2 linked regions of the Cricetulus griseus genome follow. The protein of the gene in region 2 purifies or fractionates together with the protein of the main gene of each other region. This does not show direct contact. Links are inferred from orthologs where the notes say so. Each region holds a gene or a part of one and is shown on either strand. Other genes may lie near its edges. The genes, in order: dynamin-binding protein and Dnm2.

Evidence for each region.
Region 1: the proteins of Dnm2 (region 2) and dynamin-binding protein purify together in Homo sapiens (co-immunoprecipitation; 3 studies listed by BioGRID and IntAct, with this or other methods). This does not show direct contact. The link is inferred for Cricetulus griseus from reciprocal best matches to the Homo sapiens genes DNM2 and DNMBP.

Annotation. Positions count from the first base shown.
Region 1 is NC_048596.1:17,642,104-17,645,914, reverse strand, and holds part of dynamin-binding protein, read right to left. Parts: coding exon 3,234-3,811; intron 1-3,233. UniProt on the Homo sapiens protein: Plays a critical role as a guanine nucleotide exchange factor (GEF) for CDC42 in several intracellular processes associated with the actin and microtubule cytoskeleton.
Region 2 is NC_048597.1:134,285,780-134,290,167, reverse strand, and holds the start of Dnm2 (dynamin-2), read right to left. Parts: upstream 2,951-4,388; 5' UTR 2,784-2,950; coding exon 2,623-2,783; intron 1-2,622. UniProt on the Homo sapiens protein: Catalyzes the hydrolysis of GTP and utilizes this energy to mediate vesicle scission at plasma membrane during endocytosis and filament remodeling at many actin structures during organization of the actin cytoskeleton.

The sequences.
Region 1 (3,811 bases), on a different chromosome or scaffold from region 2:
GAACAGTGTAGAGATGTGGGCTTGAAGGAGCCCAAACAAGAGTGGGGAAACTCCTCCACCTGCAACTCCGGATGAGTGGTCAGGACCATGAGGAGTAGGCAGGACCCAATCTACTAGTTTTGCTTAGAGTGGCTGCTGTTAGTGTGAGTTCATGAGAATGTATGCTCATGGCCCCGTATGCTCATTATAGCAATTCACACTTACAAATAAAACACATACCTATGTGTTTTACGCTCTATGAGTATGCCAACTTTGTAACTGGAAGCTCGCAACTACCTGTAACTCCAGCATCGGGGTATCCGAAGTCTCCTCTGACCTCCAAGAGCATCTATAACCATGGCATACATTCTCTCTCTCTCTCTCTCTCTCTCTCTCTCTCTCTCTCTCTCTCTCTCTCTCATACACACGTACACATAAAAAGAAATAAAAACACATCTTCAAAAAATAGTTCCACTAAAGTCTAAGCATCTTTGAACCATACGTCAACTATCGAACAATGATGTCCCCATATGAAAAGTTTTGTTTTTGTTTTTGTTTTTCAGGACAGGGTTTCTCTGTGTAACAGCCGTATTCGGGAACAATTCTCCTGCCTCAGCCTCATGAGTGCTCAGATTACAGGCACACATCACCAAGCCAGCTCCACTTTGTATATTATTTTTCCTGTGAGTCTGCTGAATAAGAACTCTCCAGAGAGAACTGGGAATGTGGCTCAAAGAGCCCTCTGCACAAGCATAGGACCTAAGCACCCAGCACCCCATGTACAAGGCCAGGAGTGGTGACACACGCCTATAAGCTCAGCACTGAGGAAGTAGACACAGGTGGGTTTCACTGGCCAGTCAGCCTAGCATGATCAGCAAGCTCCAGGCCAGTGGCTCTCGACCCCTTTGGGGTTGCACATCAGATATTTATGTTACAATTCAAAACAGTAGCAACATTACAGTCAAGAAGTAGCAACAAATAGATGGAACTAGAAGAAACCATCCTGAGTGAGGTAACCCAGACACAAAAAGACAAACATGTATGTACTCACTCATATATGAATTTTAGACATAGAGCAAAGGATTACCAGCCTACAATCCTCATCACCAAAGGAACTAGGAAACAAGAAGGACTCTTAAGAGAAAAATGCACGGACCCGGGAGAATGGGAAGGAGCAGGATCTCCTGAGTTAATTGGTAGCCTGAGGGTAACAGAGAGGGAGCTGCCAGAATGAGAGGAGAAGAGGAGAGGAGAGGAGGAAATGGAGGAGCAGAAAGGTTGAGTAGGGGAAGAATAGAGGAGAGCAGGATGAGAGATACCATAACAGAGGGAGCCATTATAGGTCTGAGGAGAGATCTGGCACTAGGGAGATCTCCAGAGATCTACAAGGATGACACCAATTGACAATCTAGGTAATGGTGGAGAGGCTACCCTAAATGCCCTTCCCCTATAATGAGACTGATGACTACTTTTTATGCCATCCTAGAGCCCTCATCCAGTGGCTGATGGAAGCAGAGGCAGACACCCACAGCTATACACTGAACTGAACTCTGGAACCCAGTTGCAGAGAGGGAGGAGTGAAGAACAAAGGGGCCGGGACCAGGCTGGTGAAACCCACAGAAACAGCTGGCTTGAACAAGGGGGAGCACATGGACCCCAGACTGCTGCCTGGGAGGCCAGCAAGTTACTGATCCAGACCCCTGAACATGGATGTCAATGAGGAGGCCTCGGCACTCTAGGGGGCCCCTGGTAATGGATTAGTATTTTTCCCTGGTGTAAGAAGGGACTTTGAGAGCCCATCCCTCGTGAAGGGATGCACTCTTGGCCTGGACACATGGGGGAGGGCCTAGGCCTGGCCCAGGATGTCGTGGTGGACTTGGGGGAGCCTCCATGGAGGGCCCTACCCTCCCTGGGGAGCAGAGGGGGGAAGGGTGGGGGGTTGGCAGGGGCTGGGGGGAGGGGAGGGGAGGGAGAAGGGATTGACATGTGAAGCAAGCTTGTTTCTAATTTGAACTAATAAAAAAAAAGAAGTAGCAACAAAAATAATTTTATGGTTGGGAGTCACCACAACATGAGGAACTGTATCAAGAGGTTACAGCTGTAGGAAGGTTGACAGCCACCGCTCTAGGCCAATGAGAGACCCTATCTCAAAAAACCAAGGTGACAGCAGTTGAAGAACAATGCTCAAGGATGACTTCTGACCCATACACATGTACACACATATGCATGCATACCTACACATGTACCTGCACACACACACAGAACTTCAGAGACTAGCCATGGAATATGCATTTTTGAATATACCAGGTGGGAAGGAGTCAAAAGCTATAGTAGCGATAACACCAGCTTAGACCTCAGCTCTCTGCAAGTCACTTAACAGCTCGGTCTAGTTCCTCCCTCTATAAAGTGGTGTCTGAACAATCCCTGCATGAGGGCCATGAAAAGACTATTTTTTTTAAATTTGTTTTTTCTTTTCTTTTTAAAGATTTTATTATTTATTATGTATACAGCATTCTGCTTCCATGTAGATCTGCAGGCCAGAAGAGAGCACCAGATCTCATTACGGATGGTTGTGAGCCACCATGTGGTGGCTCACAATTGAACTCAGTGCTCTTAACCTCTAAGCCATCTCTCCAGCCCAACTCTATTTTTTTTAGTAATTTATTTTTATTTTACATGAATTGGTGTTTTGCCTTCTGTTTGAGGGTTGGATTTCTTGGAACTGGAGTCATGGACAGCTGGGAGCCACCATGTGGGTGCTGAAAATTGAACTCAGGACCTCTGGAAGAGCAGTCAGTGCTCTTAACTGCTGAGCCATCTCTCCAGCTCCCTGCCCCGTGAAGCCTCTAAACAAATAGTAACAACAAATGCTAACAAGAAAGAAATACAGGCTATCACTGCCGTCACACGGCCCCTGATCACAAAGATAAAGTTTTAGTTTTCTCAGGAGAGTTGGCCTGGTAGACTTCAGTTTAGAAAGTCTAGTTTAGGAACTTCCAATCTGCAATGTAGCATGGATGCCACAGTGGCAGAGGGGGTACTGTGTCAAAAATACACTCGTTTATGAGGCTGGGCTTCTCTATGAGCAGTAAATGACGTCATAGATACAGCACAGCACAGCAATCTAATTAGGTGACAGAATGAGGAACTAGGAATCGAGATGTGGATCACTCTGTGTTGACCAGGGTGCTTTTCACATAGCCAGGCCCTCACTGAGCCTCAGTGTGGAGATCACACTGTTTCCTGACTCTTACCTCTCAGCTGCTGGAGCTCCAGGGTCAGACTCTGAATGCTGCTCTCATAGAACTTGAGATTTTCCAGCATCTCTGCCCTCAACGATTCATCCTGCTTTTCCTCCAACATCAAGGTCAGCTCTTCCTGAGCCCTGGTGTACATGTCCAAGTCATTTTCCACATCCTGAATCCTCACCAGCACAGAGGGGCACAGAGACTGAGACATCTGGGCTGGGCTCTGATCCGCAGGCTCAGGGCACTCCTTCTCTGGGGCCTCCCAACTAGGAAGGGTACAGGAGGTGGGCTTGGGAGAGGCTGTGTTCGTCTTCTGTTGCGTAGAGGGAGGCAGGGGAGCTGGGCGGGAGGGCCGCACTGCCAAGGGGGGTGCAGGTTTGAGGCTCTGGTCAACCAAGTGGGGAGAAATGGATGTTGGGGTACAGGGTCTGGGTGGTGGTGGCCTCAGGGCCTTTCTCCTCTCGGGGAGCTCCTGTGAGGGAACTGACTTCGAGGAGCCTCTGACAATATCCTTCTCAGAGTTAAAATCCATGATTGAAAAGCGGCGTACAATTTTATCTGGCTCTGTGCCAGGCCCTGACAGG
Region 2 (4,388 bases):
CCAGCCAGATGCCTACTGTACATTCAAGAACAGCAGAGGAAGGAAACAGACTCTCATTTCTGAGTCTGTTTAGTCAAATTCACAGCAGGAGATACAGAATAGGATTGAGTGGGACCCACCAAAAGACCCCTCTTAGCAGGTTCCTTCAGCCCAGGGGCCTTAAGACATTCTAGAGCAAAAAGAACTTAATGCCAGGCATGGCAGTACATGCCTGTGACCCTAGCACTTGGAAAGTGGAAGCAGGAAAAGATTATTACACTTCTGGGGGCCAACCTGTGTCACATGGTGAGTTCCAGGTCAGCCTGGACTATATAGTATGAGACTGTCTCAAAATTTTGTTTTGAAAAATAGAGGAATGGTGGTGCATACCTTTAATCCCAGCACCCAGGAGGCAGAAGCAGGTGGATCCCTGTGGGTTCAAGGCCAGCCTGGTCTAGAGAGTGAGACTATATCTAAAAAAATTAATTAAAAATAGGTGTATGTACATATACATAAAAAATTCAGTACCTAAAAGCCACAGTCTTACAAAGGTCTCTTTGAGTATGAAGCAATCAAAGAGAACATAAATGGCAATAATATTTATTATCGGTTTAATGCTAAGGACTAACCCCTAGGGCCTTATTCATGCAAGGCAACTGCTCTATGCCTGAGCTACAACCACAAGCCACTCCTGGCTTTTTTTTGAGACAAGATCTAACAATGCAACCCAAGGTGACCATAAACTCAAACCTTGTCCTGCCTCAGACTCCTGAGTACCTAAGATCACAGGTACATCTAATTTAGCCTAAATCGACACTTCCAACATCCAAGTACATCCTTGAACCAACCTATATGGGTTTTTTGTTTGTTTGTTTGTTTGTTTGCGACAGGGTCTCACTGTATAGCCTTGTCTACCCTAGAACTCTATGTAGAGTAACATAGCCTCAAATTCAGAGATGTTCCTCCTTCCACAAAAGACTGTCAACAACAACAACATGCACTAGGGAGAAGGAGGGAAGGAAGTAGGGAGTGTGTGTGTGTGTGTGTGTGTGTGTGTGTGTGAGAGAGAGAGAGAGAGAGAGAGAGAGAGAGAGAGAGAGAGAGAGTGTGTCTGTGTAACCCAATGCTAGGGTGAGGCAGAGAGAGGTGGATACACTGGAGCTCACTGGCCAGCCAGTCTAGCTGCTCCGTGAGCTTCAGACTCAGACCACGTCTCAAAAATTTCAGATGGAGCCTGGCAGTGGCTACACACACCTTTAATCCCAGCACTCGGGAGGCAGAGGCAGGTGGATCTCTGAGTTCAAGGTCAGCCTGAGCCACAGAGCAAGTGCCAGGATAGGCTCCAAAGCTACACATTCAGATGAAAAGACAATGAATGATATGGCTCAATGGGCAAAGGGGCTTGCTTGCTATGTAGGTCTGATGCCCTGAGTTTGATCCCCAGGACCCACATAAATGAGGGACTGCACAAAGATGATGTTCTCTGACCTCCACAAGTGCACTGTGGCACACACTTGGACACACGGACACACACAGGCACAATAATGTCCACAGCAAAGCAAAGATTATCACTGGGCACACACCACAGCATCATACATGGAACACTTCCTGGAATGGAGAAGTGGTGCTGTGTGAAAAGCAGCGGGGGAGGGGATAGGAGTAAATCAACATCCCTCCTTCACTCACTTCCTGGATCATAGAAACAGCTGCAAGTGGAATTTGCCCACTGGACAGATGGAACAAGCTGAGGCTCCCAGAGCTGTCTGGAGAGCTCTCCAACCGGGAAGATTTAGCTTAGGAGCCAGCTAGTAGTTTCTCTAGGATCCTGGGCCAGGAAAGAATCCTAAAGAATGTTTCTTCTCAAGCGCCCCGCCCCCCCCCCCCCCACTCAGAGAGGATGGGACAGGCAGAGTTGACTGGGCGGTAATGAACAGCAGGGCATACTAACGGAACGGATTCACTTGGAAGACAGAAGCCAATGGCCCAAGAGAACCAGACAACAGAGGCCCCTAAAAGTTCAGGCGTTCAGGTGGCAGAGACCAACTCGGGTAAGCAAAGGGCACAGATGGGCATTTGCACACCAGAGGTCACCATAAACAGCTAGTCAGACAACAGTGGACTTCGGGGTGGGTCTGGACAGATGGGACAACCAAATGGTGCCGGTAGGAAGCCTGTCTAGAACGAATAAACAGCTAACCAGACGGCAGAGAAGGCTCCACATAGATAACCAGCCTGACAGACCCAGGGATCATCCCCCATGGGGGGGCTGGATGATAAGTGTAGCTTCAGTAGCACGCACACTAAGATTTACAGGTAGCAGGAGAAAAGAGTGGATCTATCCTGGATCACAGGCAATGCGATGTCACAGTTCACCAGCGATAGCTGGGACTCAGTGCACCAAGAAGGATCTGCATTGGCCATCTTGCCCCAGACAGGTCCGGAAGTGGGTCTGCATCTCCGGTCCCTGAGGAAAGTCACGGACGCTCTTGCCACAGACCTTACCCACTGCCACGGGTGCTACGACGTCCGCGAGCCGCAGTTCCGCCATTCCCCGCCCGCCCTCCGCGCCTAGGCCGGCCGCCGCCCGCCCGCCGCCCGGCCTCCCGCGGGAGCCTGGGAACTGCCGCCGGCGCGCTCGCTCACCGGCCCACGAAGTTCTCGAGCACCGAACTCTTGCCGGCGCTCTGGCCGCCCACCACGGCGATCTGCGGCAGGTCCAGGTGGCAGCTCTGGCCGATGGAGCTGAAGGCGTCCTGCAGCTTGTTAACCAGCGGGATGAGCTCTTCCATCCCGCGGTTGCCCATGGTGCCAGCCTCCGCCCCGCGGCTCCCCTGGCTACGACACGCGGCTCCGAGGCGTCTGTGGCCGTTGCTTCCTCCCGCTTCGCTCCACCAGCCCGCCCGGGCTCCACTTCGCCGCGACGCCCGCTCACGGCTCGGCCTCACAGTCGCCGCCTCATCCGGTTCTCAGGCGACACCCGACCCGAGCGACCTCCCCGCCCGGCCTCCGGGGCGGAGCCAGGAGCCCTAATGCTATGCCAATTGGTCAAGAATGCTGCCACTCAAGAATGGGAGCCAGTAGAAAAGGCACGAGGAAGGACTAGTCTTTCACCTTCATTGGGTAGTAGAACTGTCACTAATATGAGAAAGCCAATAGAAGTGGAAACCGGGGTGTCACGCCCGGAAGGCGGGGTCTCGGGTAAAGACAGCGAAGCCTCTGCTCACTAGGTTGATCTGGGTTGTCTTATTGGTCTCTGGAAACGTCAGCCTGCCAATGGTGTAAGGAATCGATCCTTAAACACAGGGTTGTCACTTGACACTAGTTAGTTCCGTAAAATTTTCTCATTGGTTGATGTAAATATCACTTCGTCCCTCTGACCAATGAAAGAAGAGAGCCACAACCCTTTTTTTTTCTGCTCTTTCTGAACCATAGGTTGGCCGCAAACTCGAGGTGATCCTCCTGTCTCAGTATCCCTCCTGCTAGAATTACAGGCTACTAGCGTCTATGTCCTGATTCTGACTGACAGCAGTGTCTGTCAGTCAGTTCTTCCCAGCTTTTCCTGGCTTTTGTTGTCAGTTTGTGATATTCTTTCTAAGCAGAGGGCCACAGTACTTGGAAAGCGCCACACCTCGAGAAAAGGTTCAGTGATCATCACGCCTGCGTTTTTAGGCACTGGGAGAAAACTTGTATCTTAGGAAGCACCACAGATGCCAGCTCTGGAAGAGTGCAGTGCCAGTGGAAGATGAGTTTCATAGCAGGTTGTGAGTGTGGTGTCTGAATCCACTCGTTCTTCCGCGCATGTTCCTGAATGTTCCTGGGGATGAGTCCATAGCCTCATGAAGCTAAGCAAGTCTTTTACCGGTGACTATAAGCCTAGGTTTATTTTTACTTAAGAAAATTTTTTTCTATTGCTCCTAGAGAGATGGCTTTGTGCTTGCTGCCTTTGCAGAGGGCCCGAGTTTGGTTCCCAGCACCTGCATGACAGCTCACAACCATCAGTAGTTCCAGTTCCAGGAATCTGACATCCTCCTCTGGCCTCCACAGGATCTGACACAAATATGATACACATGCTTACATGCAGGCAAAACACCCTTGTACATAAAAAATTGTTACATAAATCAATCTTAAAATTTTACATAAAATATTGAAACGTTTTAAAATATTTATTTTATTTTTATGTGCACCACATAATGTGCCTGGTGCCCGCAGAAATCAGAAGTGTCAGATCCCCTAGGACTGGAATTCTGCATGGCTGTGAACCACAGTGTAGGTGCTGGGAACAAAACCCAGATCCTCTGCAGGAGCAAAAAGTGTTCTTTTTTGTGGTGTTGTTTTGTTTTGTTTTTCGAGACAGGGTTTCTCTGTGGCTTTGGAGGCTGTCCTGGAGACCAGGATAGTGTTGAACTCAC